2 linked regions of the Macaca mulatta genome follow. The protein of the gene in region 1 purifies or fractionates together with the protein of each later gene. This does not show direct contact. Links are inferred from orthologs where the notes say so. Each region holds a gene or a part of one and is shown on either strand. Other genes may lie near its edges. The genes, in order: SYNGAP1 and YWHAE.

Region 1 (15,390 bases):
TATAACCTACAAAATAGAGTTGAAAGTGACTTTTTAACAACTGTGTGTATCTGGTCTCCCCAGATGGACTGAAGGCTTCTCAAGAGGTAATCACGTCTTTGCCTTTTCTTTCTACCATAACTACCTGACCCTGGAGGTTTCCCTTGGAAGTGACTAGAGATCTCCCCTGTGGGTAAAAGGAAACATTGGGGCTTGGAGCTGGTAGAGCCCACCGTACCCTATCCAGCCGGCTCTCATCCATCGATTTTGAGTACTCCTTGAGCTTGTACTCTTCCCGCTCGATGTGGGCACTCTCGATGTCAGCCGACAGGTGAGGCATATTGGAGACCCAGGCCACTGTCCGCTCAGAGGCTGGCATTGTGGGGTTCAATGTGGACGGTGTCTGAGAATGCTGGGACAAGGCACAGTGAGGGCGAACAGAGAAAGGAAAGGTAGGAAAAAGCAGGGTACATTTAGAGGGCAACAGCACAGCCAAAGGAGATGACAGTCCCAGTCCTATTGCCCTGCTGTAGCCTTTATCACCTCTGAATGCCAGAGATGTGAGTTGAATGCCAGAGAATTTCTCCTGTTACTGTTCTGATTCAGGATCTGATTTTTATGCCTCCAAGCCCCCAACTGGCCCTATTCCAGTCACCCCCACGCTACTTATGGATTAATCCCCTCTGGAATGAGAGTGCTAAGAGGGTTCAGTGCCATATCCTTAGTGCCTGGCATAGCACATGGCACATAGCAGGCCCTCTATACACATTTAATGGCCAAAAGGAGGCAAGAAGATTGTAACTTCAGGCCACAGACTCTGTTCCAACCCCACCCCTCCAATCTCCTTCTTCCCTCCCTGTCGTGACCCAGCCCGCCTTCCTCCTGCCTTCACCTACCTGCTTGGTGATGGAGGGCTTCAGCCCCCCACCCCCTCCGCCACCGCTGCCCCCGCTGCCCCCAATGCTGCCCTCCTTGCTGAGGCTCTGTTGCCGTGGACGGGCGGGGCCATAACTTGGCTCTGGGGACTGCAATAGATTCCCGCTGGATGGCCGGGGTTTCTGGGCTGCGCTGACTGTCAACTGCTGAGACTTGCCCCTCTGCAATGGAGGTGGCTGGCCCCCGCCACCCCCACCGCTGCCCCCACCGCTCCCACCTCCAGGCCCTGAGGGGGCTGGCCTCTGGGGACCAATGGTGATCTGGGGAGGGGACAGCATGTGCTGCAGGTTGTCCTGGAGTGAAAGCTGCCGACGGGTGAAGTCAGTGCCAGAGGGTCCAAACTCATCACTGTAGCTGTGGCTATGAAGGATGGAGGCAGCAGGGGGCTTGGGGACCCCGGAAGAGAGGTCCTCACTCTTGCTATAGCCATGGAATGGGGCAAAGGTGTCCCCAGGGGGCTCTCCACCTCGGTGGTGGTGATGGTGGTGGTGGTGGTGATGGGAGGAAGGTGGGCCATGGCCACCGCCCCCGCCATGGCCGCCTGGGGGACCTGGCCCATCAGCAGCCATGTGGAAGAGAGGGTTCTGGAAGGAGAGGGGTATTCGCAGTTGCTGGGCAGGGACACCGTCTGTGGTGACACCCATCTGGCTGAGGCGCATGCCAGCTGCCGTGATGGATGAGCCACTCCCCTGGGAGAGGCGTCCAGCAGGCGCAGGCCGTAGCCCCAAGGCTGCTGTCAGCGAGGCCTGGCTTGAGTGCAGCAGGTCCCCTACGGCTGCCAGGTTCGAAACACTGCTGCTGTTGAGGCGGCCACCAGGCCCATCGCCCTGTAAGTCCAGCATGGACACACTCTTGTTGACACTCAGCATCTTCTGCTCTGGCTCTGTGATGTCCGAGCTGCTCGTGCAGTATGCTGGTGAGGAACGGGCCAGGGGTGGACGGCTTACATAGAACAGGTCTTTACCCCCACCAGGTGGTGGTGGGGGTGGCTTTTCCTTGGTTGGGGAGGGGAGGCGAGCCATGTCCATAGAGCTGTCAGAAAGGAAGGGGTAACACAAGCAGAAGGTAAGGTTGGGGCTCCTAGCAATTGAGCCTTGCTGTGGTCTGGCATAGGCCTTGGGGTGAAAAGTGGGACCCAGAGGGAAGGGCTGAGAGCTAGCAGTGGCAGCCCTGAAGAGGGAAGGCAGGGAGGATGGGAGGGGACGGGTGGGTAAAGGGAAAGGACAGGGCCCCTCCGGGAAGGGGGTGAGGCCTAGAGGAGGGGAGATGGGGGCAGCAAGAGAAGGAATGGGGACAGGGCTGGGCAGATATGGAGGAGATGAGGTCCATGGAGGAGGAGAGGAGTAGGGCGAAGGCCAGTGGAGCAGGAGAGGGAACAGACAGGAGAGGAGAGGAGGGCGGGGGAGGGGAGAGCCCCTCACCTGTTGAGGCCTCGAGCCATGAAGGACTGAAGGTCGATGGAGCTGGAGAGAGATGGAAAGAGGGGCGAGCACAGACAGAGAAGGAGAAAGATATGGACAAATGAAAGGAGAGGCGGGAATGGTGGCATGGGTATGGTGTCATGGAGGAAGACACGGGCAGAGGAACAAGCAGGGCCATCATCAAAATAATGAGCAGCAAATGAGGCACGGGCACCACCCATGGGAATTGAGGCTGGGACTCTGGAGCAGGCTGCAGGCCCTACTAGGCTTCTGCTGCCACTGCTCTAAGTGCTGGATCATGGGGAGGTCTGTGAGGTTTTGGTTGGGGGCTAGGGGAAGTGCTTATTCACTAGCTATTACTGAGATGTTTGAATATTTTGACACATAGCTGACATGACGTGCTGGCTGAACCTCAGCCTGGGGACAAGCATAGGCAAGCAGAGGGACAGCAAATCAGAGCTTGCAGCAGGGATGCTCTAGGCTTACAACTAAGCCGTGAGTTGGTGGAGCCTCAGCCCTCTTCCTAAAGCTCCACATCTCTCACTCCCTCAGGCTGTAAAGGGCTCTCAGCCTACCACTGACTGTACCTGTCTCCTTACCAGTCTTCCCTGAGAACTTGGTGCTTTTTCCTTTTTTCAAGCCCTAGAGAGATGCGTGTGGGGCCCAATGAGGAGTATCTAGAACAGGAGAAGGGCTCCTAGGGCACAGGCCTGGCTGTCCCAGGGTGCTCACCTGTTAAGGTCCCGCATCATGTAGCCCTGCATCTCAGCCGATGGCCCCCGCAGTACCACGGGCTGAGGCCGGGGCCGCTCACTCTGGCGGCTTGGCTGCCTTTGGATGTTGGGGTTCCTCAGAGCTGTGCTGATGTCATTGAGGAGCCGGGGCAGTGGGCCCAGCTTCAGGAGGGCTTCCTGGAAGGGTGAGGCTGTTACCTGGGGGCTCAGTGCCCAGCTCTAAGAGGGCCTCTGAGGGTACAGGTGGAGGGGGTCTGAGCTGGGATGGTAGTGGTGACACCTCGGGGAACAAGGGGAGAAAAAAAATCTTCAAAGGGTAGTTTCTTAGGCTCCAGGAACCTCTGGAGTCATCTGGGGATAGGGCAAAGAGGGGATCTGCTGACCTTGCTCAGCTGGGGCAGCACCTCCCAGAGCAGGGCATGCAGTGTGGAGAGCTCTCGGCCCAAGTCGATGTAACCCTCAAAGCTACTGCTGTTGGTTAGCGTGTCCAGGTTGGAGATCTCATACAAGAACTGCTGCATGGAACCCCATTCCAGCTCCAGAAACTCATTCATGAAGCCCAGAAAGTCCTCCTTTGAGGTAAACCTAGCCAAGAATCCAGAAGATAAAGGTCACAGACACACACACAGAAAAGGTGTCATAGCCTCCCCATCTCAGGATCTCTGGGGACTCAGGAGACCCTTCTTGCCCACCCCCAGCCCTGCCACGCCCTGCCCTGCCCTCTCCTGAAGCTTCCCTCACTTGGAAAAGTTGGCCAGGTTCTGGATGACCTTGGCAATGAGGGTGAGGGTGCGTGAGGTCTGCTCATCTGGGTACTCCTGCATAAGCCCAAAGAGACTGGGCGACATAATCGCTGGGCAGAGGAAGCGCAGGAAGAGCGAGGCGCTGATAAGCCTGTCTGCGATGTCCTCCCGGCCTCGCTCTGCGCAGCGCAGCCGCCACGAAGCAAACACCTCCTTCAGCTCCCTCGGGAACACGCTGGGGGGAAGGGGCGGGGAGACAGAGAGAGAGAGAGAGAAAGAGAGAGACCGGGACTGAGCCCCAGAGACCCTCAGCTTCCAGGGAACATGCTGAGGGGGGTGGTAGGAGGTGAGGGTGTGGAAACAGAGGTGAGAGAGACAGGGAAGGAGGGACCGCAGGAGCAAGATGGGAGGCTGCTTGAAGAAGGGGGCCATGGCAGAGGGAACAGACAGATTAGGGAGAGAGAAATGGAGGGGGAGAGAAGGTGAGGGGAGAGACACGTGGGAGAGAGATGGAGGGGTGTGGGAGAGAGACAAGGAGAGGAGGAGAAGAAAAACAGACACCAGGGAGAGACAAAGATGGGAGAGAGATGGAGGGTCACTTGAGGTACAGGGAGCTCGGACCCCCCAACTCTTCTGGATTCCAGGGAAATGGGGATGGAGGTGCCCCAGGCATGATCCCCAGTCCCTGGAATGGCTCAGAGCTCACTCCCCCCACCTCCCAGATCCACTTCAATGTCCCACTGACACCTTAAACTCTACTGGTGTAAAGCAGAGCTCACCACCGCCCCCACACCTCCAACTGGCTCCTCCTCCTGACTTTCCTGGTTGTCAATGAGGCCACAGGTCTCCCAATCACCAGCCTCATGGCCTCTTGAGTCATCCGTGACTCCCCGCAGATATGCTCCCTCTTTTCCAATAAGCTGACAATTCCTACTGATCCTTTCCTCAGAGGGTCCTTCCAGTAGCTCCTTCCTAACTCTGTCACTGTTCTGATTCAGGATCTGACTTTCATGCCTCCCAACCCCCAGCTGGCTCTACTCCAGTCATCCCCCCACATACACCCCTCTATTCTACTATTTATAATCTACTTATGGATTAATCTTTTTTTTTTTTTTTTTTTTTTGAGACAGAGTTTCACTCTTGTTGCCCAAGCTGGAGTGCAATGGCGTGATCTTGGCTCACCACAACCTCCGCCTCCTGGGTTCAATCGATTCTCCTGCCTTAGCCTCCCAAGTAGCTGGGATTACAGGCATGCACCACCACATCCAGCTAATTTTATATTTTTAGTAGAGACAGCGTTTCTCCATGTTGGTCAGGCTGGTCTTGAACACCTGACCTCAAGTGGTCTGCCCACCTCGGCCTCCCAAAGTGCTGGAATTACAGGCATGAGCCACCGTGCCCAGCCTATGGATTAATCTTCTAAATCACAATACTTCTGATACCTTTAATGGCATCCCAAGGCCTACCAATGACCTCAGACTCCTTGAGGCCTTCCAGTTTCTAAAGCTAATCTTCCTGCCCAGACATCTCTCCCACCACTCCCCATCATGAGGCACATGCTCCACTAAACCTGATGTAATTGCTACTAAGCTACTCTAATGTCCCCTGATAACTCCTGGGCCTTTTCACCATCACACATGTGCCTTTCTCACAGCCTTCTTCTGAAATGTCTTTCTTGCCAACTATGTCCACATATCAGAACCTAAACCAGTCTTCAAAGCCTACCCAATGGGGCACCTCTTCCCCGCTTATCTCAATTAAAGCTCTGCCTTCTCTCTGACCTTCTATCACACAGAGGTGGGGGGACCCTTACTCAGAACTTACACACCATTATGACTCTGTGGCTTTTTTTTCCCTAATTTGTCCCCACTCATTCTGGTGGAGGCCCTCTGAGGGCAGGGACCAGGCCTCTTTCACCTGTTTGCTCTATAGTGCCTAGAACAATGCTTTGCCCATAAATGGTTCTCAGTCCTCTTTGAGGATGGACAGATAGATGAACAGATGAACACATAATTCCCCCGACCCTGGCCCCCCAGCCCAGCGTTCCCAGTCTCACCAGTGGGAGTTGACCACCTTGCACAGGGCCAACTCACAGCACATTCGCAGGTTGGCCTGGTGCTCTGCCAAACTGGACGCTGTGCACTTGATAGGGTCTACCTCGCAGTTTTCCTCAGACTCATACAGAGCACGGATGAACTCTCCTGGAGGGTGGCGGCACAAGAGGGTGTGGTCACACTTTTCAAGGGCAGGGAAGGGGGTGGCCAGGGTTGGGGAAATTTCAGAATCAGGTGTTGGAGGCTGGAGTCCTAGGACTCTGGGTTAGGAAGTATCAAGCTGTGGAAGCGTGGACTTGGGATCTGGGGTGGACATCTGGCAGGTTTGGGAAGAAGAGGGCCTAAGTGTGGGCCATACCAATGGCATCCTTGAGGTATTTCTGACCAATCAGTCTCATATACTCTTCTATGGCTTTAGTGGCGAGCGTGTTCTCGCGGAATATGAGGTGCTCCCGTTCCATGAACCGGTCTACCTCAGACATGGCCATGTCTGAAAGGAAGTCCTGAGGCCCAGGAAAATCCAAGTGTCAGCCTCTGCACAACCCAATCTCGTGAATTTGCCCTGTCCTCACTAACCCCCAAGCAAGTGCCCATTCCCAAGTCACCTTTCCCTGAGGGCACAACACTCACCTTGGCCTTGCCTGTACTCTGCAGGATGTGAACTAGTGCACTGGCAACCTCCTCCTTGCCTTTGACATTCAGGGCAGGCTCCAAGACTGCACACAGCATCCGATAATGGTTGGTGACATACTCTGCAAACTCTTTATATAGCTCCATGGGCAAGATGCTCATTGTCTGGTAACGTGCTTTCAGCCGTACAGCCGGGCAACCTCCTTTGCCCTTGCCCCCTGAGCCGCCCCCCGAACCTCCTCCCCCTCCCGAGCCCATGCCCCCAGATCCCCCACTGCCTGTTGGCAGGGTTACAGGGTACCACTGCTCTGTGAAGTGGCGCCCAGCCAGGGTGGCCACTGGCACAGTCACCAGGCCGACATAGCCCGCCTTGTCCTTCTTGCGCTTTTTGTCTGAGTCACGGTACAGATGCAGCCGCAGGGCACGGACAGCCGGCAGGTTGTTAAACTCGAAGTGCTCGCCCCAGAAGACGGTGTCCCCTGAGGCAGAGCGGGGCTTGGAGGTGGTGCGTGCATACAGCATGTCATCCAGGCAGAGCTCGCAGTAGTACCGCTTCTTGGGGGGCAGCTCTCGGGCCTCTATGATCCACAGCTTTAGCACATTGTCTACCCGGCGGCTGTTGTCCTGGCATGGTGGGGTGGGCACGATGTTAAAGGGGGAAGGGACAGAGAGACACCAAAAGAGGAGAGACAGTAAGAAAGTGGGATACAGACAGCAATCATAGGTGAGACGGTGTACTGGGTTGAACAGTATCCCACCAAAACTCATGTCTACCCTGAACCTGTGACTGTGATCTTATTAGGAAACAGGATCCCTGCAAATGTAATCAAATTAAGAAGAGGCCAGGCACGGTATCTTATTCCTGTAATCCCAGCACTTTGGGAGGCTGAGGTGGTGGATCGCCTGAGGTCAGGAGTTCGAGCCAGCCTGGCCAACATAGTGAAACCCTGTCTCTAATAAAAATACAGAAAAAATTAGCTGGGCATAGTGGCACGTGCCTGTAATCCCAGCTACTCGGGAGGCTGAGGTAGGAGAATCATTTGAACCTGGGAGGCGGAGGTTGCAGTGAGATGAGCTCATGCCATTGCACTCCAGCCTGGGAAACAAGAGCGAAATTCCATCTCAAAAAAAAAAAAAAAGGCCATACTGAATTAGAGTTGACTCTTAATCCACCTTATAAAAATTGATGTCTTTATATGGAGAGGGAGATTTGGAGACATAGAGATACAGGATACAGAGACACACAAAAGGAAGCCAGCTACATGAAGATGGAGGCAGAAACTAGACATATGCAGTTACAAGCCCAGGAATGCCAAGGACTGCTGGCAACCTCCAGAAGCTAGGAAGAGGCAAGGAAGGATTCCCTGCTACAGCATCAAAAGGAGCATGGCCCTGCTGATACCTTGCTTTTGGACTTCCAGTCTCCTGAACTGTGTGAAAGAATAAATTTCTGTTGTTTAATGTGACCAAGTTTGTAGCAGTTTGTTATAGCAGCCCCAGGAAACTACTCTAGAAGCGTAGTTCATACACTAGACAACACAAACAGTATTGGAAAGAGTTTTAAAGCTGGAATAACAAGCCAAAAATATTAATGTAGAATTTAAAGGGAACTGGAAAGTCCTGCAGAGACTATCAGAAATTGTGAAAAAAGAATTGTATATAGAATGGGTAAAGCTTGGCCAGGTGTGGTGGCTTATGCCTGTAATCCTAGCACTTTGGGTGGCTGAGGCAGGCAGACAACTTGAGGTCAGGAGTTTGAGACTAGCCTGGCCAACATGGTGAAATCTTGTCTCTGCTAAAAATACAAAAATTAGTCAGGTGTGGTGGTGCATGCCTGTAATCCCAGCTACTGGGGAGGCTGAGGCACAGGTATGGCTTAAACCTGGGAGGCAGAGGTTGTAGTGAGCCAAGATCACACCACTGCACTCCAGCCTGGGTGACAGAGTAAGACTCAGTCTCAAAAAAATAAAATAAAAAAAAAAAAAGAATGAGTAAGGCTTGACAGTTGGTATAAGGGCCTGGGGGGATACAATTGAGCACAAGCTAATGGGAAGGCTCAGGTGATATTGCAGTGTGTGGAAAAAGAACATGGTGTTTGTACTCTGCATAGGTCAGATCATGTCAGCATCTTGGGTTGAGTTCTTTAAGGACATCAAGACACAAGAGTTCCCCCCAGAGGAGGGTGACTACGACTGTAAGCTTGCTAGAAACTGGGATACAGAGAATAGCTGACAGAACTGAAAGCATGAAGTTTTGGGAAGAACACAGACTCACAGAATTTATGTGCCAAAGGGAACTTAGAGATCATTTAATCCAACCCTAAGACAGTTCCCTCTGTCTTAGAGAGGAAACCAAGGTACAGAGACTTGGCTAAGTGTATTTTATGTGTCCTGCGGGGTTTTAGTGAAGCATTCCTGCCTGCAGGGAAGCTAGACTAAAGGATTTCCAGAGCCCCGTCAACTCTGTAAGTCTACGACTTATATGGCAGGGAAAGAGATAGTAAGGCAGGGTAGCAGTACAGAAAGTACAGAAAGAGAAAAGAAATGGGGGACTCAGAATAATGGGGGTCTCCCCCTTCTTGTCCAGGTACCCTGTACTTCAATCCTCTCCTTCTCCAAGCCTCTCCTCCTTTAACTCACTTTCCTCCCTAGGCCCCCAACTTTCCATGTTGGCGCAACCTTTGCCCTGCACAGGTTATGTCCCCTTTATTCCCCAATACCTTGTTGGGCTTTACTGCCCGCTGCAGATTCTCAATCCATTTGTCTCTTTCGGCTGCAGACCGACAGGCAAAGCATTTTGTTCCTGATGAAGTTGTTACCTAGAAAGGAGTGTGGAGTTGAGGGAAAGGGCTACAAAGGGAAGGAGACTCTGCTACTTTCTCTTCCTCCCTGGCCTATCCTCCTTTCTTCCAGTCCCAAAAGTTTGTTTCCTTGATGTCCCCACCTGTGCCACTTTCTCTAGACCTCTCTGCCCCCCACCTTCCATTGCCCCTTTCCTTTGGCCCTCCCCAGCCCACTAGACCCAGTACCTCAAAACAGAACTCCTGGCCCAGGATGGAGCTGTGCACTGGCTTGATAATGGAATCTTCATCCAAGTTGAGCTCCAATGCCTCAGCTGCACTGCTAGGACTCAGCAAGGACTCATGAGAGTGCGACTCCTTAAAGCTTTGCATCAGCCGGGCCCTGGCAAGCAGGAGGTTCAGGAGAGGCGGGGATCAGGGCCCCCCACTCTTTTTTTTTTTTTTTTTTTTGAGACAGAGTCTTGCTCTGTTGCCCAGGCTGGAGTACAGTGGTGTGATCTCGGCTCGCTGCAACTTCTGCCTCCTGGGCTCAAGCGATTCTCCTGCCTCAGTACACCCAGCTAATTGTTTTTCTTTTTTTTTTTTTTTTTTTTTTTGTATTTTTAGTTGAGACACGGTTTCACCCTGTTGGTCAGGCTAGTCTTAAACTCCTGACCTCACGTGATTCAGCCTTCCAAAGTGCTGGGATTACAGGCATGAGCCACCACGCCCGGCCCCACTACTCTTCTTAGACACATAGGGATCCTGCACCATCAGTCTGTTCCAGGATGGAGACTTGGAGAGAAGGCCCCCTGAACACCCTTCCCAGACAGGCACTGAAAGAAACCCTGCCTATCTCAGGAAGGACATGAGGGATGTGAGAGAAATGAGAATCCTTTAAGGAACTCCCCTGCTCCAGCTGGGCCTGGTGGCTCACGCCTGTAATCCCAACACTTTCAAAGGCCGAGGTGGGAGGGTCACTTGAGCCCAGAAGTTCGAGACCAGTCTGGGCAACACAGTGAGACCCTATCTCTATTTTTAAAAAAAGGAAAAAAAAAAAGAAACTCCAACCATCTCACACCTAAGGGATTGTGAGGACTGGGGATACCTAGAAATATCTCAACCCAGAAATGGACCATGGCAGAAAAGAAAAAAAAAAGGAGAGAACAAAGTGGGCCTGGGGCACTTCTAGGTAGTACCTCCAGGTAACCCCAGAAACCAGAGCCTCAGTATAAAGGAAAAAGTGGAAGAAGTGATGGCACAGAAAAGAGATATGTCTAGCCTGGGCCTGGCACACAGCTAGTGCCTAATAAACATTTAATGATTCAAAAAGTGCCTAATAAACATTTAATGATTCAAAGAATGAATGAACATAGCATAAGAGGACAAGTTTTAGCAGAACCAGGGGAAAGAGTGAGGGAAAAGCATATGAAACAGGAGAAAGCTAAGGGCAAAAAAGAGCTGAATGAGGATAAAAGACAGAATATGGGGACTAGGGAAGAAGAGAAGGTAGGGCAAGGAGAAAGGGGAAGACAAAGGTATGTGCAGCAAGACAGAGGACAGGAGAAGAGGAGGAGGGCCAACTGGAGAGGTGGCCAGGAGAACCGAGGTGGGGGCTAAGAGGGGATGGAATGCAAAAAAATCACTGCAGGAGGGCAGAAGATAAAGGGGACTGGGGGCATGGAATAATGAGGGGTAGGATAGCAAGCGGTATGGAGATGGGCAGGGGATGAAGAGTAGAGAGCAGTGGGAAAGCGGGAGGGGAGCTCGGGTGTGGGAGCCTCCAAGAAGTTATTTATAGCAGCCCCGTCATCGCAGGCTCTGGCTGCCGTCAGCGCGACGCTCCCCCGGCCCCCGGCCCCCCCCCGCCCCCGCGGCCAGGAATACCATGCCCTCACCCCCTGCCGGCCCCAAATCCAGCTCTGGCAACATGGGAGGGGGGCAGGGAAAGGTGTAACTCACTTTATCCCAACCTCCCTACCTGCCCAATCCTGTGGGTGGCCAGACGTGGTGGAAAGGGAGGGCATGGTTCTCCCTAGGGAGTGACTGGGTGAGGGGGAAACCCAGATAGGAACCCCAAATGGCAGACAACAAAGGCAAACAGTGGAGGTCTCCTTCAGCCTGGCCTCAGGGCCACTGCCTTCTGGACGTCTCTACAGGCTGCTTCTTCATGCCTCAGTCCATGGATTGCTCCCCATTCTGTCACCCTGCACACCTGTCCCAGACTCCCCTTCTCTGCCATGCTCTATACTGTCTCTTCCTTCACTGATGAGGTCCTTGAGCCCTAGCCATCATCCATTCATTCAGCCACCCCCAGCCCCGCTCCAACCTGCTGCCCTGTATTTCCTGACCTTCCCTGACACCCTTCCACCTAGAGCCTATTGCTCACTGACCTACCAACCCCTTCCCTGCATTCCTTAAACGCTCCTCCAGGGTCACTCTCCTCCTGTACAGCTCCTTTGATCCTGGGCTAGAGCCCATCCTTCTTGGCCTGAGTAGTCCCTGAGGAGTCACTACTTGGCTTCACCTTCATTCCCTTTCCAGCCTCTCTGTCTTCTCTCTGCCACCCTACCCCTCTCCTGCTACTCACAGATCCCTATTCTAGTTATTTTCTGTTCTGTCCCCTGCCCCGTGACATCCCCCAACCAACTTGAGTTGAATCCTTCAACCTTTGCACACAGATAACCCCCTCCCTCTGCATCTCACACAAGAGACCCTACATTACATTGATCTCATCCCACATGCTCCAGCCCCTGTACCGGTCATGGTCAGCACTTCGGAATCGAGGCAGGATCTGGCGAAAGCTGCTGGTCCGGTCAAGTTTGGGTTGTGACTTCGTTCGTTTGATGGAGCTTTTTAGCCGTCGGCTCAGGAAGCCTTGCTGGGGGGGAAATGGGGATGGGGTGTGTTGGGGCAGGGTCAGTTCTACCTACTCATCCCTCAGCTGGTAGATAGTCCCTGGATGAAAGTGGGATGGGGAAAAGGGAAGTCTCCAGAGGCGAGGAAAGGGGGATAGGAACCCTAATACCAGTTTGTCTTCCTTGCTCCCACAGGTACAGTGCAAGCACGCGTGCACACACACACACACACACACACACACACACACACACAGAGCTTGGAGAAAGTGGGAGGGCTGGTCTCAGAAGCAGAGGGGCAGAGCCAAGAAGGGGGAAACCAAAGAGGTGGGGAGACACACACACACACACACACACACACACACACACACACACACTCTTTTTCTCAATCTCACTTGGGAAACCAAAGAGGTGGGGAGACACACACACACACACACACACACACACACACACACTCTTTTTCTCAATCTCACTTGGGAAACCAAAGAGGTGGGGAGACACACACACACACACACACACACACACACACACACACACTTTTTCTCAATCTCACTCCCTCTTTCCCCCTCCTGCCCTCTTTCTCAGACTCCTAGGGCCCGAGTTGGGGCTCAGGGGAGGGGGCCCAGCTGAGCCACATCTGGTAGGCACCACTCACCGAGGGCCGGAAGGGCGCAGCAGGGGCGCCCTCCATGCTGTACTGCTTCCCCCCTGGGACACTCTTCCTCCTCGAGCGACCCAAGTGGTATTCTGGAGGGGAGAAAAGGGCCAGAAGGGAAGTTGGGGAGGGGGCCAGGAGGGAAGCTGTTAACCCAGGTTCCCACCCCTGACCCCAGTGCATGCCCCCACCTCCCTCTGCCCTTCAGCTCCGGCCTCACCTACCCCCCGGAAAGCAGCAGGAAGAGCAGCGACGGCGGAGAGGCTGGCAGCGGGAAGGAGGGGGCAAGGAACCTGAGCAGGAGCCCCCTGAGGGGGATGGGGTGGGAGGCCTTAGGCCCATGACTGGGGCTAGCAGTCAGCAGGGGGGCATGGCTGAGAGGGTCAGTAAAACCCCAGTAATGAAGGACACCAAAGATCCAGGGAGGCTAGGTCCCTGGTGCCCACCCACCCCAGAAGGGGCCAGCTGGGGGGAAAGATGGGTTAAAGGTCATTGCCCATAGGCAGGCTTTCCTCTTCCCCCTGCTGGACACATCTTCCATCTGCCCCCCACCTCCTGGAACCCCTGTCTGTCTGGAGGGCCAGGGCTGCCTCCCATGACCCCCTCCCTGGACTGGAGGGGGAGGTCTTGGAAGAGACCTGTGAAGAGTAGCAGGGGGAGAAGCCGGGGACAGAAAATCCAAGGAAGGGGCAGGTGGGGGGAGGGGAGAAGGAGCCGGTTCCACGTGCACTGCAGTGGCAGGGGCTCAGAAGGTGGGGGAGGGGAAAAGCAAAGAATGCAGGGGAGTGGGCAGGGAACAGGAAGGATGGGCAGTGGGGGTTCTGGGGACTCCCAAGTAAGGGCAGGGAGAGGAGGAGGAGGGGAGGTGAATGCGGATGCAGCTCAGCCTGCCAAGAGCCTAGAGGGATGGCAAGCTCTGAAAAAGGAAGCTGAGGCTCAGCTACAAGGGAATTTAGAGGGGCCGAGGGGCTGGAAGAGAATGTAAGTGGGGGGATGCCAAGCTCCGGCTCCAGCTCCAGAATGGCTGCCCAGGCCTGGGCTCCCCCCTCAGCCCCACAGTCACCACTGCAGCCAATGGGGGGGCAGGTGCTGCATCAGGGGCGGGGCCAGCATCTCCACGGCAACAAGAAGCTACAGGCTGGAAGGAGGGGGGTGGACCGGAAGAGCTGCCTGTTAACCCTCTAGGTTCCAGAACAGAACAAGGGAGGACCACAATTATATTTTCACTGTCTGCTTCCAGAATTGCAAATTGCCTGCAAACTGCCCTAGAATCAGTCCCCAGCTCCCCTTTACCTGTAAAACCCAGGTGGTGGACCCCATGACACGAGAACCCTATCACTCCCTCAGGAACAGGTGTATAGTACAGAAACATACACTGAGCTGTAGTGGTACGTGTATATGAGAACCACAATACAAAAAAATAACTGGGGATCTATGTGCTTTTGAGACATACAGACAACTGTGAGCACGGGCATAGCACGGATCCACATTCTGAGACCCTAAGGCCCACACACCCCACAGGATACATGCTTTGACATATGTGAGTACTACAACAAGGGAGTACATACTTGAACCCAGTTACCCACATGAGAGCTGCTCGTGTGGACTTTGTGGCCCAAGTCTCTTGGGCAATCATGTGGACAGCACACTACAGAAATGGACCTATAACCCTAAGACGCGCATATCCCCATGCAGGGGAATTCCAGTTTAACCCCTGAAATACATGCTTGAGTACACCATGATCCTGACCACAGAAAGGTATCCCCATATCTCAGAAGCACAAACATCCTTTCATTCACGTGAAAAGTACAACCATATCCGCTCTGTCTCAGGACAACCCCCTCTCCTCCCCCAGCCCTTCTCTCACTCTAACACAGGCATCCAAGATTGCCACCGGAGTAAAGAAAAACCAGGAGCAAATGTGTTAATTATCCTTCTGGCACACACTAAGCAGTGCATCCAATGGTTCAGGATATCTCTTCCCTAGTAACATTTTTCTGCATTTCTCAGGTATGGCTGCCTCACTCTCATTTCAGGGAACCAAGCTCAGCCATTATTTTCATGTGCAAGCTCATCTAATAAAGGCATAAAGTCTAACTTTAAATGCATTAAAATTCTGCTTTGGAACTAAAGCATTAACAGAAGAACAAATTTGCTAATTGGCTTGCTTGGTTCTTGGAAGTAATATAACCTTACACGTATTATCAAGAATTAAGATCCATGAACTCACTCATAAGTCACAGGAACACAGAGGCCACATACACGTACGCTTATTAAAGACTTTTGTTGCCGCAGGAAAAGAATAGCAGAAACACAGAGGAAAGGGGGACAGAGTGACAGAAACACTGAACATCCTGTTATTAGTGCTGCATGCAGTGACATGTACAGAGAAAATAACACACACCCGTGTATACACACACACAGCAAACCTGAAAAGCATAAACTGTGATCCTGGGTCTCCATGTCCCATGCCTGCACGATGTATACACGCATGCACACACATAACAGCCACCTACACAAACCCGTAACACAGGCATTGTGCACACACCCACACATGTACACACCCTGTGTACACACACAATGGCACTCACACACACAGCAAGG
Region 2 (15,390 bases), on another chromosome or scaffold:
ACCAACCTAATAGCTCACTGCAGGCCGGAATTCCTGGGCTCAAGCAGTTCTCTTGCCTTAGCCTCCTGAGTAGTTGAGACTACAGGCACACACCCCCACACCTAGCTAATTATTGCAGAGGCAGTGTCTCTCCATGTTGCCCAGGTTGGTCTCAAACTACTGGGCTTGAGTAATCCTCCTGTCTTGGCCTCCCCAAATACTGCGATTAGAGATGTGAGCTACTGTGCATGGACAGTGAATTCTTTACTTTTGAGTGGTGCCCATCTTACAGATATGAGCACCAGTTTGCTTATTCATTTCCCCTCTGGATGCACATTTGTGTGGTTTCCACTTTTTGGCTATTATGAATATAGTTGCTGTGAGTGAGTGAGTGTGTAAAAGTCTTTGTAAAGGTTTATTTTTCTTCTGTATAATACATAGAACTAGGATTGCTGAGTCATGTGGTAAATGTTTATTAAAACATTGCCAATTTTTTTTCAAAGAGACTTTACAAAATATTCTTTTTTTTATATTCCCAAAAGGATTAATTTTTTTTTTTTTTTTTTTTTTTTTGAGACGGAGTCTTGCTCTGTCTCCCAGGCTGGAGTGCAGTGGCGCGATCTCAGTTCACTGCAGCGTCTGCCTCTCAGGTTCAAGCCAGATCTCAGCTCACTGCAAGCTCCGCCTCCCGAGTTTACGCCATTCTCCTGCCTCAGCCTCCCGAGTAGCTGGGACTACAGGCGCCCGCCACCTCGCCCGGCTAGTTTTTTGTATTTTTAGTAGAGACGGGGTTTCACGGTGTTAGCCAGGATGGTCTCGATCTCCTGACGTCGTGATCCGCCCGTCTCGGCCTCCCAAAGTGCTGGGATTACAGGCTTGAGCCACCGCGCCCGGCCCAAGGATTAATTTTTGAAACATATTTTCCTGGATACATTAGGTACACTCCCCTTAATTTAGTAGTGTTTTGGTTTTTGTTTTGTGTTTTGGTTTTTTTTTTTTTTTTTGGATACGGGGTCTCGCTCTGTCACCCAGGCTGGAGTGCGGTGGCGCGATCTCAGTTCACTGCAGCGTCTGCCTCTCAGGTTCAAGCAATTCTCCTGCCTCAGCCTCCATGGTAGCTGGGATTACAAGCGTACACCACCATGCCCAGCTAATTTTTGTATTTTTAGTAGAGACGGGGTTTCACCGTGTTGGCCAGGCTGTTCTCGAATTCCTGACCTCAGGCGATCCATCAGACTTGGCCTCCCAAAGTGCTGAGATTACAGGCTTGAGCCACTGTGCCCACCCAATTTAGTAGTGTTTTATGAAGTCACTATCTCTTTATACCTGTTAGTTAAAGTATACTTATGCTTAGGGTGTTAATGAATGCTAAGGATGCTTATTTAAATGCAGATAATTTTTGTTGTTGTTGTTTTTTTGACACGAGTCTTGCTATGTTGCCCCGAGTGGCAATACAGTGGCGCGATCTCAGCTCACTGCAATCTCTGCCTCCTGGGTTCAAGCTATTCTGCTGCCTCAGCTTCCCAAGTAGCTGGGATTGTGGTGGTGTGCACATTGGTCAGGCTGGTCTTGAATTCGTGACCTCAAGTGTGATCTGCCCACCTTGGCCTCCCACAGTTCTGGGATTATAGGCGTAAGCCACTGCATCCAGCCTATTTTAATTAATTAATTAATTTTGAGGTGGAGTCTCCATCTGTTGCCAGGCTGGAGTGCAGTAGCACAGTGTTGGCTCACTGCAATCTCCACCTCCCAGGTTCAAGCGATTCTCCTGTCTCAGTCTCTGGAGTACCTGGGAGTACAGGTGCGCATCACCACGCCCAGCTAATTTTTATGTATTTTTTGTAAAGATGGTGTTTCACCATGTTGGCCAGAATAGTCTCTATCTCTTGACCTCGTAACGCGCCCACCTCGGCCTGCCAAAGTGCTGGGACTACCAGCATGTCCAGCCTCTATTTTAATTTTTTAGAGACAGGGTCTGACCGTGTTGCCCTGGCTGGTCTCGAACTCCTGAGCTCAAGTGATTCTCCTGCCTCAGTTCCCAAAGTGCTAGGGGTATGAGCCACTACTACTGGCGTAAAATGCAGATTCTTGAGTCTCATCACCAAAGATTCAAACGTGGGTAATGTTGGAGAGCCACGTGGTAATACAGCATCAAAATAAGTTTCTGTTAATGTATTCATTCAGTTACTATTTCTTGTGCTATTGCGCTTTGCATTCACACGCTGTTAGCTGTATTTCCCTATGCTTGCGATAGATCCCAAGGCTTCTCTGGGCCCCTTTCTTTGCTCGCCACCTAGTGGTAACAAATAGGAGTCATCAGAAGTTTCACCAGAAGGAGCTTCATACGAGGAAGGATAGAAAACATCCAAAGTCTGTTGGTGGCCAACCATACACTCCGTACATTTTTGCTGTATGAACAAATTGCCCCTTCTCTTGTTTTTTTGGAAATACTATTTATTTGTAAGACAATACGTTTTAGCATCTGTAAATTCTTAATCTTTCTCTTAAACTGGCGGCTTTTTTTTCCTTTTTTTTGGCTGGAAAATGGTTAGGTATGCCTAATTAGAGAGGTGCTTTCAGACCACACTAAATTATATTAGATAGTATATGAAGTCTTCCTGATTCCATAGAACTTACATTCTAGAGTCTTTGCATTGGCTCTTAGTTTGGTTTCCTTTACATGTTTTTGGCTTTTTACTCATACTAGTTTTGATGATTATGAAATTATTTTTGTTGAAAAATTTTTTTTCCAGTAGCTTGACAGAAAAAAACCTACTTTGAATGGGATATGTTAAGAAAACTTCCAGTTTGTAAGATCTGACTTTTCCTTTTCCCATGCAGAAATGGTGGAGTCAATGAAGAAAGTAGCAGGGATGGATGTGGAGCTGACAGTTGAAGAAAGAAACCTCCTATCTGTTGCATATAAGAATGTGATTGGAGCTAGAAGAGCCTCCTGGAGAATAATCAGCAGCATTGAACAGAAAGAAGAAAACAAGGGAGGAGAAGACAAGCTAAAAATGATTCGGGAATATCGGCAAATGGTGAGATTGCTGTGCCGTCGTCCCCCTTTATGCACAGTTTGAGTTACCTGTAGGACGGTACACTAAGAGGTTTTGAGAGAGAAGGAGACTGCATTCATATAACTTACATTACAGTATGTTATAATGTTTCCGTTATTAATCTTTGTGCCTAGTTTATAAGTTAAACTTTCCCATGGCTATGTATGTATAGGACAAAACATAGTCTATATCAGATTTGGTATTATTCATGGTTTCAGCACATCCACTGGCTGGTCTCAGAATGGATGCCTCTTGGGTAAGGGGGAACTGTTGTTATTTTCAAGCAAAATGATGACTGTTTTTTAAAAAAATACGGTGGGTTGGCTGGGCATGGTGGCTCATTCCTGTAATCCCAGCACTCTGGGAGGCCGAGGCGGGCGGATCACGAGGTCAGGAGATCCAGACCATCCTGGCTAACATGGTGAAACCCCGTCTCTACTAAAAATAGAAAAAATTAGCCGGGCGTGGTGTCGGGCGCCTGTAGTCCCAGCTACTGTGGAGGCTGAGGCAGGAGAATGGCGTGAACCCGAGAGGGGGAGCTTGCAGTGAGCCGAGATCGTGCCACTGCACTCCTGCCTGGGTGACAGAGTAAGGCTCTGTCTCAAAAAAAAACACACACACACACACACAACAAATATACTGGGTTAATTTGTCTCATTCCTCTTCCCCCCGGCCCCCCAGACTCACCTTGTCACCCAGGCTGGAGTGCAGTGGCACGATCTCCACTCACTGCAAGCTCCGCCTCCCGGGTTCACGCCATTCTCCTGCCTCAGCCTCCACAGTAGCTGGGACTACTGCGCCAGCCACCACACCCGGTTAATTTTTTGTATTTTTAGCAGACACGGGGTTTCACCGTGTTAGCCAGGATGGTCTCGATTTCCTGACCTTGTGATCCGCCCGCCTCGGCCTTCCAAAGTGCTGGGATTATAGGTGTGAGCCACCGTGGCTGGCCTTTTTTCTTTTTCTTTTTTTTTTGAGGCGAAGTCTCGCTCCGTCGCCCAGGCTGGAGTGCAGTGGCCAGATCTCGGCTCACTGCAAGCTCCGCCTCCCAGGTTCACGCCATTCTCTTGCCTCAACCTCCTGAGTAGCTGGGACTACAGACGCCCGCCACCTCGCCCGGCTAGTTTTTTGTGTCTTTTAGTAGAGACAGGGTTTCACCGTGTTAGCCAGGATGATCTCGATCTCCTGACCTTGTGATCCACCCGTCTCGGCCTCCCAAAGTGCTGGGATTACAGGCTTGAGCCATCGTGCCCGGCCCTTTTTTTTTTTCTTTTTTTAAAGAGGAAGTTTCGCCCTTGTTGCCCAGACTGGAGTGCAGTGGTGTGATCTCAGCTCATTATAACGTCTGCCTCCCGTGTTCAAGTGATTCTCCTGCCTCAGCCTCCTAAGTAGCTGGGATTACCGGTGCCTGCCACCACAACTGGTAAATTTTTGTATTTTTAGTAGAGATGGGGTTTCACCATGTTCGCCAGACTGGTCTGGAACTTCTGACCTCAGGTGATCTGCCAGTCTAGGCCTCCCAAAGTGCTGGGATTAGAGGTGTGAGGCACCACACCTGGCCTAGTTTTTTCAACAGAATAGAACATATCAGAGTGGAACACTGTAAGCATAAGGATTATTTAATGAAGTTATTTTACATACTGTGTGTGTAGATGCATATATAAAATGTTTCTTATTGTAGGTCTTGTTAAAAAAGTTGTATAGCCATCACTCTAATGCAGCAGTTTTCAATTAGAGGTGCTTTTGTCCTTCAGAGGACATTTGACAATGTCTAGAGATACTTTTGTCACTTAGGGGGTGCTGCTAGCATCTAGTGGGGTGGAGACAGGATGCTGCTAACCATTCTACTGTGCGCAGCACGGCCCCACAGCAAACTCCAGTAGTGCTGCTGGTGAGAAACTGATTTAGTGGAAGAGACAGGCACGTAACGCATGAACGAGAACAAGGAAGAGAATTACAGGGCAGGTGGAAAGTGAGCTTGGTTGGGAGAGGGAAAGGTGGGGGAACCACAGTTACTGACTCGCCAGCTGTACTGGGCACTGTCCTGAGTAGAGAAATATTTCTGTTATATGTATTTGTGTAAGGTAGTACGTGAAATCTTTAAAATAGCACTGGAAGGGGGAGGCATTATCCCAACCTATGAATGCACAAGCCAGGATTTTGAGTGTTTAACATACCTGAGGTCACTTAGAAAGTTGTGAGCTGGGGCCGGGCGTGGTGTCTCGTGGCTGTAACCCCAGCACTCGGGGAAGACAGAGGCAGGAGGATCGCTTAAGCCCAGTAGTGGGCAAAAAAGTGAGACCCTGTCTCTAAAATTGTAAGCTGGGGTTGATGTGTTAACCATTACCCTGAAATATGTTGGGTCAAAGAATTTGGTTGGTCAGTAGACAAGTTGAGTGTCCCAGTGGAAGGAGGAGGTGAGGAAGTTGAAAGTGCTAAAGAAACAAGCCCAGGAGCTCCACTGTGGGATTTCTGTGGGATTTTGGCTGCCTGGGAAAGGGAAGTGGGAATCAAAGACAGCAACTGATAAAGTGGGAGAAGACGTAAAAAGCTCAAGAGTCTGATGTCTTAGATGAGATACATGCATTAAAAAAGAAAAAGTGGCGAGGCGTGGTGGCTCATGCCTGTAACCCCAGCACTTTGGGAGGCCAAGGTGGGTGGGTCACACCTGAGGTCAGGAGTTCGAGAGCAGCCTGACCAACATGGTGAAACCCCGTCTCTACTAAAAATACAAAAATTAGCCAGGCATGGTGGCACGTGCCTGTAATCCCAGCTGTTCAGGAGGCTGAGACAGGAGAATTGCTTGAACCCAGGAGGCGGAGGTTGCAGTGAGCCAAGATCGAGCCACTACACCCCATCCAGCCTTGGCAATGAGTGCGAAACTCTGAATCAAAGAAGGAAAAAGTAAAAGAGTCCAGGTGTCTTGATGAGTCCATAAATAGAAATTACAAGAGAAGAGGAACTGAAAAAGGAAGCCATGGGCCCAGAGTGGAGTGTTACAATTCAGACTGCTAGTATAGGGCAGCGCGGTCATGGGTGTGGACAAGTGGAAGTCTTGGAGTAGAGAGCCAAGAGCTTGTCGAATGGAACACGGCCACACCATACCTTGGTGTGATCTCAGGTATCGGATGGGTTTGCTGTAGACATTGAGTGAATCTGGGAGAAGGGTGTAGAGATCTACTGAAGACAGAAGCTGAGAAATAGAATGTAGAATATCAGCTTGTGAGGAGGAAGGATTTGGAGTAATAGGAGAGCAGTCATTGACTGTGCAAGGAGCTAGGAGAACTTAGAAATCTTCCTTTTCCTAGACCAGTCTCTGTTGGAAAAGCCGTCAGGGCGGTGGTTTATTCAGAAAATGATTTTGCTTGGGATAAGGATGTGATTATAGAAGAAAAAGTGAGAGAATGTTTTACAGTGAAACGGAGGTTCCGGGGGCATGGAGAGGAACGAAAGGTTCAGCAATAGTGCATGAGTTAATAGCAAATAGGAAGCAAGCTGGGGATGTGCGTCCAGAGGTGGTGTACGCGTTCAGCATTATCAGTGGATAGAGATGGTGGCAATAGCTACTTTGGTAGATAGGTTTTTGGTGTCTTAACTAGTTACAGATCTCTGCCATTTAAGGAATTGCCTGGTGACTGTTAGGAATGTGAGTGCTGAAGGCAAACTGCCTGGGTTTAAATTTTGATTTTGTCCCTTGCAACTGGCCTGAGTTCAAATCCTAGCTCTGCTTATTAAATTCTTTTAAGTTGATCTTAGAACAATGTGTTTACATTGCTACCTTGTGGAAGAAGTTAATTCATGTAATTGACCAGCATTTATCAAGAAGCATCAGTGTTTTAGTCATTGGTAATTCTGTAACTGGACTGAGAAGGGAGTGTGGGGGCTGGCGTATGTGCGCCTGCATGTGTGTATGTAACAATAGCATGCAGAAAGGAAAAGATGCTTTTTATAACCTAGAGGCAGCTTTTCTCTGCTTTTGTGTCAAGAAGGAAGAAGGGAGTTGGGAGGTGGTTATTAATTCTTTTTAATACTAAGCTCTCCTCCTAAAAACCAGAGATAGAATGTGTAATAATTTGTAGAATTTCTAGACTTAATCAGATTTTTTAAAAAAATTTATTTTTATTTTTTCAGGTTGAGACTGAGCTAAAGTTAATCTGTTGTGACATTCTGGATGTACTGGACAAACACCTCATTCCAGCAGCTAACACTGGCGAGTCCAAGGTTTTCTATTATAAAATGTAGGTTCTATACTAGAAGGGAAAATGTAAGATTGAAAGTTGGTCCTTTTAGAATTACAACTTTTTTCTATGTGGGTTTTCAACTTTTATTTAAGAATAATTGTTCAATGTTAGAAGGATAGTTAATATTGGAATAAAAAGATGGACTATTATAAAAATGTAAAATTTTTAATAGTTACTCGTAGAAAACATAATTTTATATTTTCTGTTTTAGCATAAACAAGTTTCAGTCTTACTAATGTGTGTTAAACTGTTCTCCCATTTATACTTCAGATTGTTCCCAGCTTTTGCTTATTTTATATTCTTTGTTTTTGTGAGACCTATCCCATTCCCTTCCCCCAAGCGGCATACATTTCACAGTGCTTAGTGTTTTATATAGAAATTTTATTTTATTTTTAATAAACAGTCATGCCATTCCTTGGAACCACTTGCTTAATTCTGGTTTATTAGGTGATAATTTTGTTAATTTTTAGAGGCTCCTCAGTTAATTTCCTTGGGATTTTTGCTTATATTTAGTAATATGAAATGTCTAAGGAAAAACACAAAAGGAAGCCAATTATTCCTGAGGGTATTTAAAATTATTGAAGTATACCTGCTAATTGTTACATATATTTTTGTCGCATATTTTATATAATATAGAACAATTTTAGCTTATTTTCCTTTAAAAATCGTCATTCCTGGTTTAAAATTTTTTTTTTTTTAATTTTGGTTTTGTTTTAGGAAAGGGGACTACCACAGGTATCTGGCAGAATTTGCCACAGGAAATGACAGGAAGGAGGCTGCGGAGAACAGCCTAGTGGCTTATAAAGCTGCTAGTGATATTGCAATGACAGAACTTCCACCAACGCATCCTATTCGCTTAGGTCTTGCTCTCAATTTTTCCGTATTCTACTACGAAATTCTTAATTCCCCTGACCGTGCCTGCAGGTAAGTTGTGGGGAAGAAAAAAGCTCTCAGCTTGAAAGTTAAGGGGTAGCCGGGCGTGGTGGCTCAAGCCTGTAATCCCAGCACTTTGGGAGGCCGAGACGGGCGGATCACGAGGTCAGGAGATCGAGACCATCCTGGCTAACACGGTGAAACCCTGTCTCTACTAAAAAATACAAAAAACTAGCCGGGCGAGGTGGCGGGCGCCTGTAGTCCCAGCTACTCGGGAGGCTGAGGCAGGAGAATGGCGTAAACCCGGGAGGCGGAGCTTGCAGTGAGCCGAGATCGCGCCACTGCACTCCAGCCTGGGTGACAGAGCGAGACTCCGTCTCAAAAAAAAAAAAAAAAAAAAAAAAGAAAGAAAGTTAAGGGGTAGCTATTTGGATTTTCCGTATTGTTTCTTGGGCCTGCCTTTGTAGACTTGGCTGCGTATTGATTCTTTTGACTCTTACTGAAACTACTTTGGATAGTATTAAAACAGACCTATCTCAACCCACTAGCGTAGCAGTCAGGGTAAGTATTTTTATGTGGGATATTTTGGTAGATTGAAATCTAACGTGTTAAAATGAGTAGAGGAAGGGCCAGGCGCGGTGGCTCAAGCCTGTAATCCCAGCACTTTGGGAGGCCGAGATGGGCGGATCACGAGGTCAGGAGATCGAGACCATCCTGGCTAACACAGTGAAACCCCCTCTCTACTAAAAATACAAAAACTTAGCCGGGCGAGGTGGCAGGTGCCTGTAGTCCCAGCTACTGGGGAGGCTGAGGCAGGAGAATGGCGTAAACCCAGGAGGTGGAGCTTGCAGTGAGCTGAGATCCGGCCACTGCACCCCAGTCTGGGTGACAGAGCGAGACTCTGTCTCAAAAAAAAAAACAAAAATGAGTAGAGGAAGGAAATGAGAGGAATTATAAGATAGAATTATTTTAATTTTATATATTAGTTTTCAGTCTTTTTTTAAAATTTGAGACGATGTCTCACTTTGTCTTCCAGGCTAGAGTGCAGTGACGCCATCTCAGATCACTGCAACCTCCACCTCCTGGGTTCAAGTGATTCTTCTGCCTCAGCCTCCTGAGTTACTGGAGTTACAGGGGCCTGCCAACATGCCCATCTAACTTTTTTTGTGTTTTTAGTAGAGACAGGGTTTCACCGTGTTGGCTAGGCTGGTCTGGAACTCCTGACCTCAAGTGATCCGCCTGCCTTGGCCTCCCAAAGTGTTGAAAGTACAAGCGTGAGCCACCACACCCAGCCAGTTTTCTGTCTTTATGGGCATGTTTTTAATAGTTACTCTCGTCGAAAACATAATTTTATATTTTCTGTTTTAGCATAAACAAGTTTCAGTCTTACTAATGTGTGTTACACTGTTCCCCCATTTATACTTCAGCTTGTTCCCAGGTTTTGATAATGTAGATACAAATGTAAGGAATATTTGTATGTACATAGCTTTTTACTTTTAAAAAGTTGTGATAGCCTCGGCGCGGTGGCTCACACCTGTAATCCCAGCACTTTGGGAGGCTGAGGCGGGTGGATCACCTGAGATCAGGAGTTCGAAACCAATCTGACCAATATGGCAAAACTCTGTCTCAACTAAGAATACAAAATTAGCCGGGTATGGTGGTGCATGCCTGTAATCCCAGCTATTCGGGAGGCTGAGACAGGAGAATCGTTTGAACCCAGAAGGCAGAGGTTGCAGTGAGCCTTGATTACACCAGTACACTCTAGCCTGGGTGACAAAGCAAGACTTTGTTTCAAAAAATACACACGCGCGCACACACACACACACAATTTAGTGGCACCAAATACCTTGACAGTGTTGTGTAATCACCACTATTTATTTGAAAACTTTCTCTTCACCCCACACAAAGCAAATTACAGCCATTAAACAAACAATAACTTCATTTCCCCTCTGCCCACCTGCTAGTAACTTTTATTTTACTTTGTCATTATGAATTTTGCGCCCATTCTAGATACCTCATGTAAGTGGGATTATATAATATTTGTCCTTTTGTGGCTGTTTTTATTTCATCTAGCATCACGTTTTTATCCATGTAAAAGCATCAATCAGAGCTTCAGTCCTTTCCGTGACTGAATTCACACAATTCATTTTACGTGTTTTGACACATTGTTTAGTCATTAAACTTTGAGTGGTCAGTGGGTATCTTTCCACCCTTTTTCTGTGGTGAGTACAGTGCTGCTGTGAACATGGATGCATTAAGTATTTGCTTCAGTCCTTGTATTTAACTTCACCTTGAGGTGGAATTGGGACTGAAAATTCTGTGTGTACCTTTTTTTTTTTCCCCAGACAGGATCTTGTTCCGTCTCTGCAGTTGTGCACTCATAGCTCACTGCAGTCATGGCTTCCTGAGCTCAGCTGATCGCGTACCTGAGCCTCCAAGTAGCTGTCACTAGAGGAGGATGCCACCATGCCTGGCCTTTTCTTTTCTTTTCCTTTGTTTTTTGTTTGTTTTGTTGGTTTTTTTGTTGTTGTTTTTTTTGTTTTTTTTGAAGCAGAGCCTGTCACTGTTGCCCAGGCTGGAGTGCAGTGGCACAATCTTGGCTCACTGCAATCTCTGCCTCCCGGTTTCAAGCGATTCTCCTGCCTCAGCCTCCCAAGTATCTGGGATTATAGATGCCCACCACCATACCTGGCTGATTTTTGTATTTTTATGTAGAGACGGGGTTTCACCATGTTGGCCAGGCTAGTCTTGACCTCACCTTAAGTGATCCGGTCACCTCAGCCTCCCCAAGTACTGAGATTACAGGCGTGAGCCACTGCACCCGGCCTCTTTTAAATTTTTACAGTAAATATTGCAGTAGCAAAATGGTTGTTTTTTGCTTTTTTTTTTCAATGAAGTCTTGCTCTGTTGTCCAGGCTGGAGTGCAGTGGCGCGATCTCGGCTCACTGCAAGCTCCGCCTCCTGGGTTCACGCCATTCTCCTGCCTCAGCCTCCCGAGTGGCTGGAACTACAGGCACCTGCCACCAAGCCTGGCTAATTTTTTAATATTTTCAGTAGAGATGGGGTTTCACCGTGTTAGCCTGGATGGTCTTGATCTCCTGATCTCGTGATCTGCCTGCCTTGACCTCCCAAAGTGCTGGGATTACAGACGTGAGCCACCATGCCCGGCCTCTTCTGCTTTTTGTGTGTTTTTTTTTTTTGGTTTGTCGAGGACCACTGCTTAAGCCAAGTAGATTTTTTAAGTGAAAGCCTTTCAGAGATTGAGGAAAGTAGATTAACTGATACATTAGAACTTTAACGTTGACTATTACAGGCATGCTTCACTGTGCTCGACTGATTTTTTTTTTTTTGCATTTTTAGTAGAGACGGGATTTCACCATATTGGTCAAGCTGGTCTCGAACCCCTGACCTCAGGTGATCCACCCACCTCAGCCTCCCAGAGTGCTGGGATTACAGGCGTGAGCCACTGCACTCAGCCAATCTAAAAATATTCTAAATGGCTAGTTGAGTTTGTCCAGGATAGGGGTCATAACTGAAGAAGCTTTGGCTATTTAACTGATACTGGTGGTTGCACCTTTCCTTGTCAGACTCCAGTCTAGCTGTCCCACGTGTAGCTCCAGTTTTAAGTCACTTCCATGCCTTTGCTCATGCTTTTGCTTAAACTTGAAGTGTGTTCTTTTTGCTTTCTCCTGATCCATTAAGGTTAGCTCAAATTTGACCTTCCCATTAATTGCTCCTCCTGGGTCCCTGAGATACTTCATTTAGAGTAGCACTTGAGTCTTCGTCGTCTTCTTTTTTTTTTTTTTTTTTGGTTCTTTTTGTCCAGGCTGGAGTGCAGTGGCACAATTTCAGCTCACTGCAACCTCCGCCTCCCGGGTTCAAGCAATTCTCCTGCCTCAGCCTCCTGAGTAGCTGGGACTGTAGACATACACCACCATACTTGGCTAATTTTTTGTGTTTTTAATAGGTTTTGCCATGGTGGCCCGGCTGGTCTTGAACTCCTGGCCTCAAGTGATCTGCCCGCGCGCATTGGCCACCCAAAGTGTGCTGATTACAGGCGTGAGCCACCACACCCAGCCTCCTCCTTCTTTTAAAATAGTTACACATTTGTCCATCCTCCATTTCTAAAGTTTTAAGGTGATTGTGGACTTAGATTATGTCTCTCTTTTTTTTTTTCTATTGGTATCTGGTATCATTTCTTGGGCATAGTACACAGTATTCAGTAGGTGTGGATTTTCTTTTAAAACTGTAAAAGGCAGGCCGGGCGCGGTGGCTCACGCCTGTAATCCCAGCACTTTGGGAGGCCGAGGCGGGCGGATCACAAGGTCAGGAGATCGAGACCACGGTGAAACCCCGTCTCTACTAAAAATACAAAAAATTAGCCGGGCACGGTGGCGGGCGCCTGTAGTCCCAGCTACTCAGGAGGCTGAGGCAGGAGAATGGCGTAAACCCAGGAGGCGGAGCTTGCAGTGAGCCGAGATCGCGCCACTGCACTCCAGCCTGGGCGACAGAGCGAGACTCCGTCTCAAAAAAAAAAAAAAAAAAAAAAAAAAAAAAAACTGTAAAAGGCTTACATGACCACATTTCCGTGGCTTCTGTGTTGCCTTTTATTTTCTTTGCTTCCCTGCCTCCATTAATGTGAAATTAAATTTTATTAAACTTTGAGGTATTGTCCAAGATTTTCTTTTTGCATTAATACTTTGTTAAATATCTCGGGGGGGGGGTGGTTTGTACCATTGGTCCCAGCCACTCAAGAGGCTAAGGTGGGAAGATTGCTTGAACGCAGGAGTTCAGGTCCAGCCTGGGCAACATAACGAATCTCTTAAAAAAAAAACTTGGGGCCGGGCGCGGTGGCTCAAGCCTGTAATCCCAGCACTTTGGGAGGCCGAGACCGGCGGATCACGAGGTCAGGAGATCGAGACCATCCTGGCTAACACAGTGAAACCCCGTCTCTACTAAAAAATACAAAAAACTAGCCGGGCGAGGCGGCGGGTGCCTGTAGTCCCAGCTACTCGGGAGTCTGAGGCAGGAGAATGGCGTGAACCCGGGAGGCGGAGCTTGCAGTGAGCTGAGATCCGGCCACTGCACTCCAGCCTGGGTGACAGCGCGAGACTCCGTCTCAAAAAAAAAAAAAAAAAACTTGGCCGGGCACGGCGGCTCACTCCTGTAATCCCAGCACTTTGGGAGGCCGCGCCTCTGCAGATCGCGCCACTGCACTCCAGCCTGGGCGACAGAGCAAGACTCCATCTCAAAAAAAGAAAAAATAGTAGTGCTCCACATACCTTTAAGTTAATTTTTATTGTATTTGCTTTTTCTTTGTATCATTGTCACTATTACACACTGGAATAACTGAAGAAGAGATTGATGTCTAGCATGTCTTTTCTAATTCTGATTTTGGATTTAATTTTTATAATACATTTATTTAAATACCTTTAGGTTGGCAAAAGCAGCTTTCGATGATGCAATTGCAGAACTGGATACGCTGAGTGAAGAAAGCTATAAGGACTCTACACTTATCATGCAGTTGTTACGTGATAATCTGACACTATGGACTTCAGACATGCAGGGTGACGGTAAGCAAACACTAGGAAGTAAAAGAGGCACCTCTTTCAGTTGCAGGATTTGTTTTTACTCTCTGTAGACATTCCTTGGCATATCTTTACATCAAGCTACAATTTAGACTCACTGCCTGCTCTCTATGAAATTTTAATTATTGCCTTTATAGGAAATGGTGCTAAAGTACCGAGTTCCATTTTGGGGAACTTAGTTTAAGTCTTCCTTTACACTGTTTCAAAGGTTGAGGAAAGGAAAAGTGGAAAGCAAGTAGTTTATTTTATCTTCGTCCAGATTCAATTTTAGGGGGCTGAAGTTAACTGTATTTAAATCCAGATGGTATCAATAGGTATTTATGAAGTTTTTCTCTTTGTTGAAATTTTTTATCTAAAAGGGAACTAATTTCCCATTTACCTCTGGGGTTCAGCAGAGAAATTGTATGTTGGCCCTTGGGTCTTTTTTTTTTTCTTTTCTTTTCTTTTTTTTTTTTTTTGAGATGGAGTCTCGCTGCAACACCCCGGCTGGAGTGCAGTAGCATAATCTCGGCTCACTGCAAGCTCTGCCTCCCAGGTTCAAGCGATTCTCCTGCCTCAGCCTTCCGGAGTAACTGGGGTTACAGGCACCCGGTATCATGTCCACCTAATTTTTGTATTTTTAGTAGAGACGGGATTTCGTCATGTTGGTCAGGCTGGTCTTGAACTCCTGACCACAGGTGTTCCGCCCGCTTCAGCCTCTCAAAGTGCTGGGATTACAGGCGTGAGCCACTGTGCCCGGCTGTTGTTACTTTTAAGAGGTTTTCATTGCAAACAATTTAGCTAGAGTATTTTACTAAACTTAATTGTGATGGTGAGTGTGTGTGAATGTTTACTTTAAATACAGAAGCCCAAATTTGTTAACGTTTGTTGATTTTAAAGGAAATTTAATTCTCTCTCTCTAGAGAATCATTATTATCCATGGTAGATTGTTGAACAGGGGTGGAGAAGAAGACAAATTAGTGTGATATGAGCATTACATTACAAGATAGTTTTACATTTGGTGGTGCTGGTGCTGGTAGGAGGTTGGAAACAAAGTCTGTTGTCAGTTTTAGCTGCGATTCCTTTAAGCATGTTTCTTAAGCTGGGCTGGGCGCGGAGGCTCAGGCCTGGAATCCCAGCACTTTGGGAGGCCGAGACCGGCGGATCACGAGGTCAGGAGATCGAGATCATCCTGGCCAACACAGTGAAACCCCTGTCTCTACTAAAAATAGAACAGGTGTGTTGGCGGGCGCCTGTAGTCAGTCCCAGCTACTCAGGAGGCTGAGGCTGGAGAATTGCTTAAACCCAGGAGGCGGAGGTTGCAATTAACTGAGATCGTGCCATTGCACTCCAGCCTGGGTGACAGAGGGGAGACTCCATCTCAAAAAAAAAAAAAAAAAAAAAAAAAAAAAAAAAAAAAAGTTTCTTAGACTGAAACATATGTCGCGTTGCTTGAGGCTATCTGTAGTGTCTGTTGGGGAAATCGACCTGCTGTATTGTCTTTGGAAGTGTTACACTTTTTGAAAACGCTTCTGAAAGTGGGCACGTATGTGTCTTTTCTCTGAAAGGATCAAATCAGATTTGTGACTTTTGGGTTATGGTACTAAAGTGAGACTCAGCTTTTAATGCTTCCTAGCTCTAGGAAATGTTTAGGATTTGACTAAATCGGGA

What was found.
Region 2: the proteins of SYNGAP1 (region 1) and YWHAE purify together in Homo sapiens (affinity purification with mass spectrometry; 3 studies listed by BioGRID and IntAct, with this or other methods). This does not show direct contact. The link is inferred for Macaca mulatta from reciprocal best matches to the Homo sapiens genes SYNGAP1 and YWHAE.

Annotation. Positions count from the first base shown.
Region 1 is NC_133409.1:148,836,094-148,851,483, forward strand, and holds part of SYNGAP1 (ras GTPase-activating protein SynGAP), read right to left. Parts: intron 13,809-15,390; exon of another isoform or gene 13,129-13,808; coding exon of another isoform or gene 13,011-13,128; intron 12,879-13,010; coding exon 12,787-12,878; intron 12,158-12,786; coding exon 12,036-12,157; intron 9,680-12,035; coding exon 9,526-9,679; intron 9,316-9,525; coding exon 9,217-9,315; intron 7,122-9,216; coding exon 6,498-7,121; intron 6,371-6,497; coding exon 6,226-6,370; intron 6,015-6,225; coding exon 5,870-6,014; intron 4,049-5,869; coding exon 3,812-4,048; intron 3,656-3,811; coding exon 3,454-3,655; intron 3,248-3,453; coding exon 3,069-3,247; intron 2,379-3,068; coding exon 2,337-2,378; intron 1,948-2,336; coding exon 876-1,947; intron 392-875; coding exon 218-391; intron 1-217. UniProt on the Homo sapiens protein: Major constituent of the PSD essential for postsynaptic signaling. Inhibitory regulator of the Ras-cAMP pathway.
Region 2 is NC_133421.1:2,895,470-2,910,859, reverse strand, and holds part of YWHAE (14-3-3 protein epsilon), read left to right. Parts: intron 1-2,820; coding exon 2,821-3,020; intron 3,021-7,169; coding exon 7,170-7,276; intron 7,277-7,996; coding exon 7,997-8,203; intron 8,204-13,588; coding exon 13,589-13,725; intron 13,726-15,390. UniProt on the Homo sapiens protein: Adapter protein implicated in the regulation of a large spectrum of both general and specialized signaling pathways. Binds to a large number of partners, usually by recognition of a phosphoserine or phosphothreonine motif.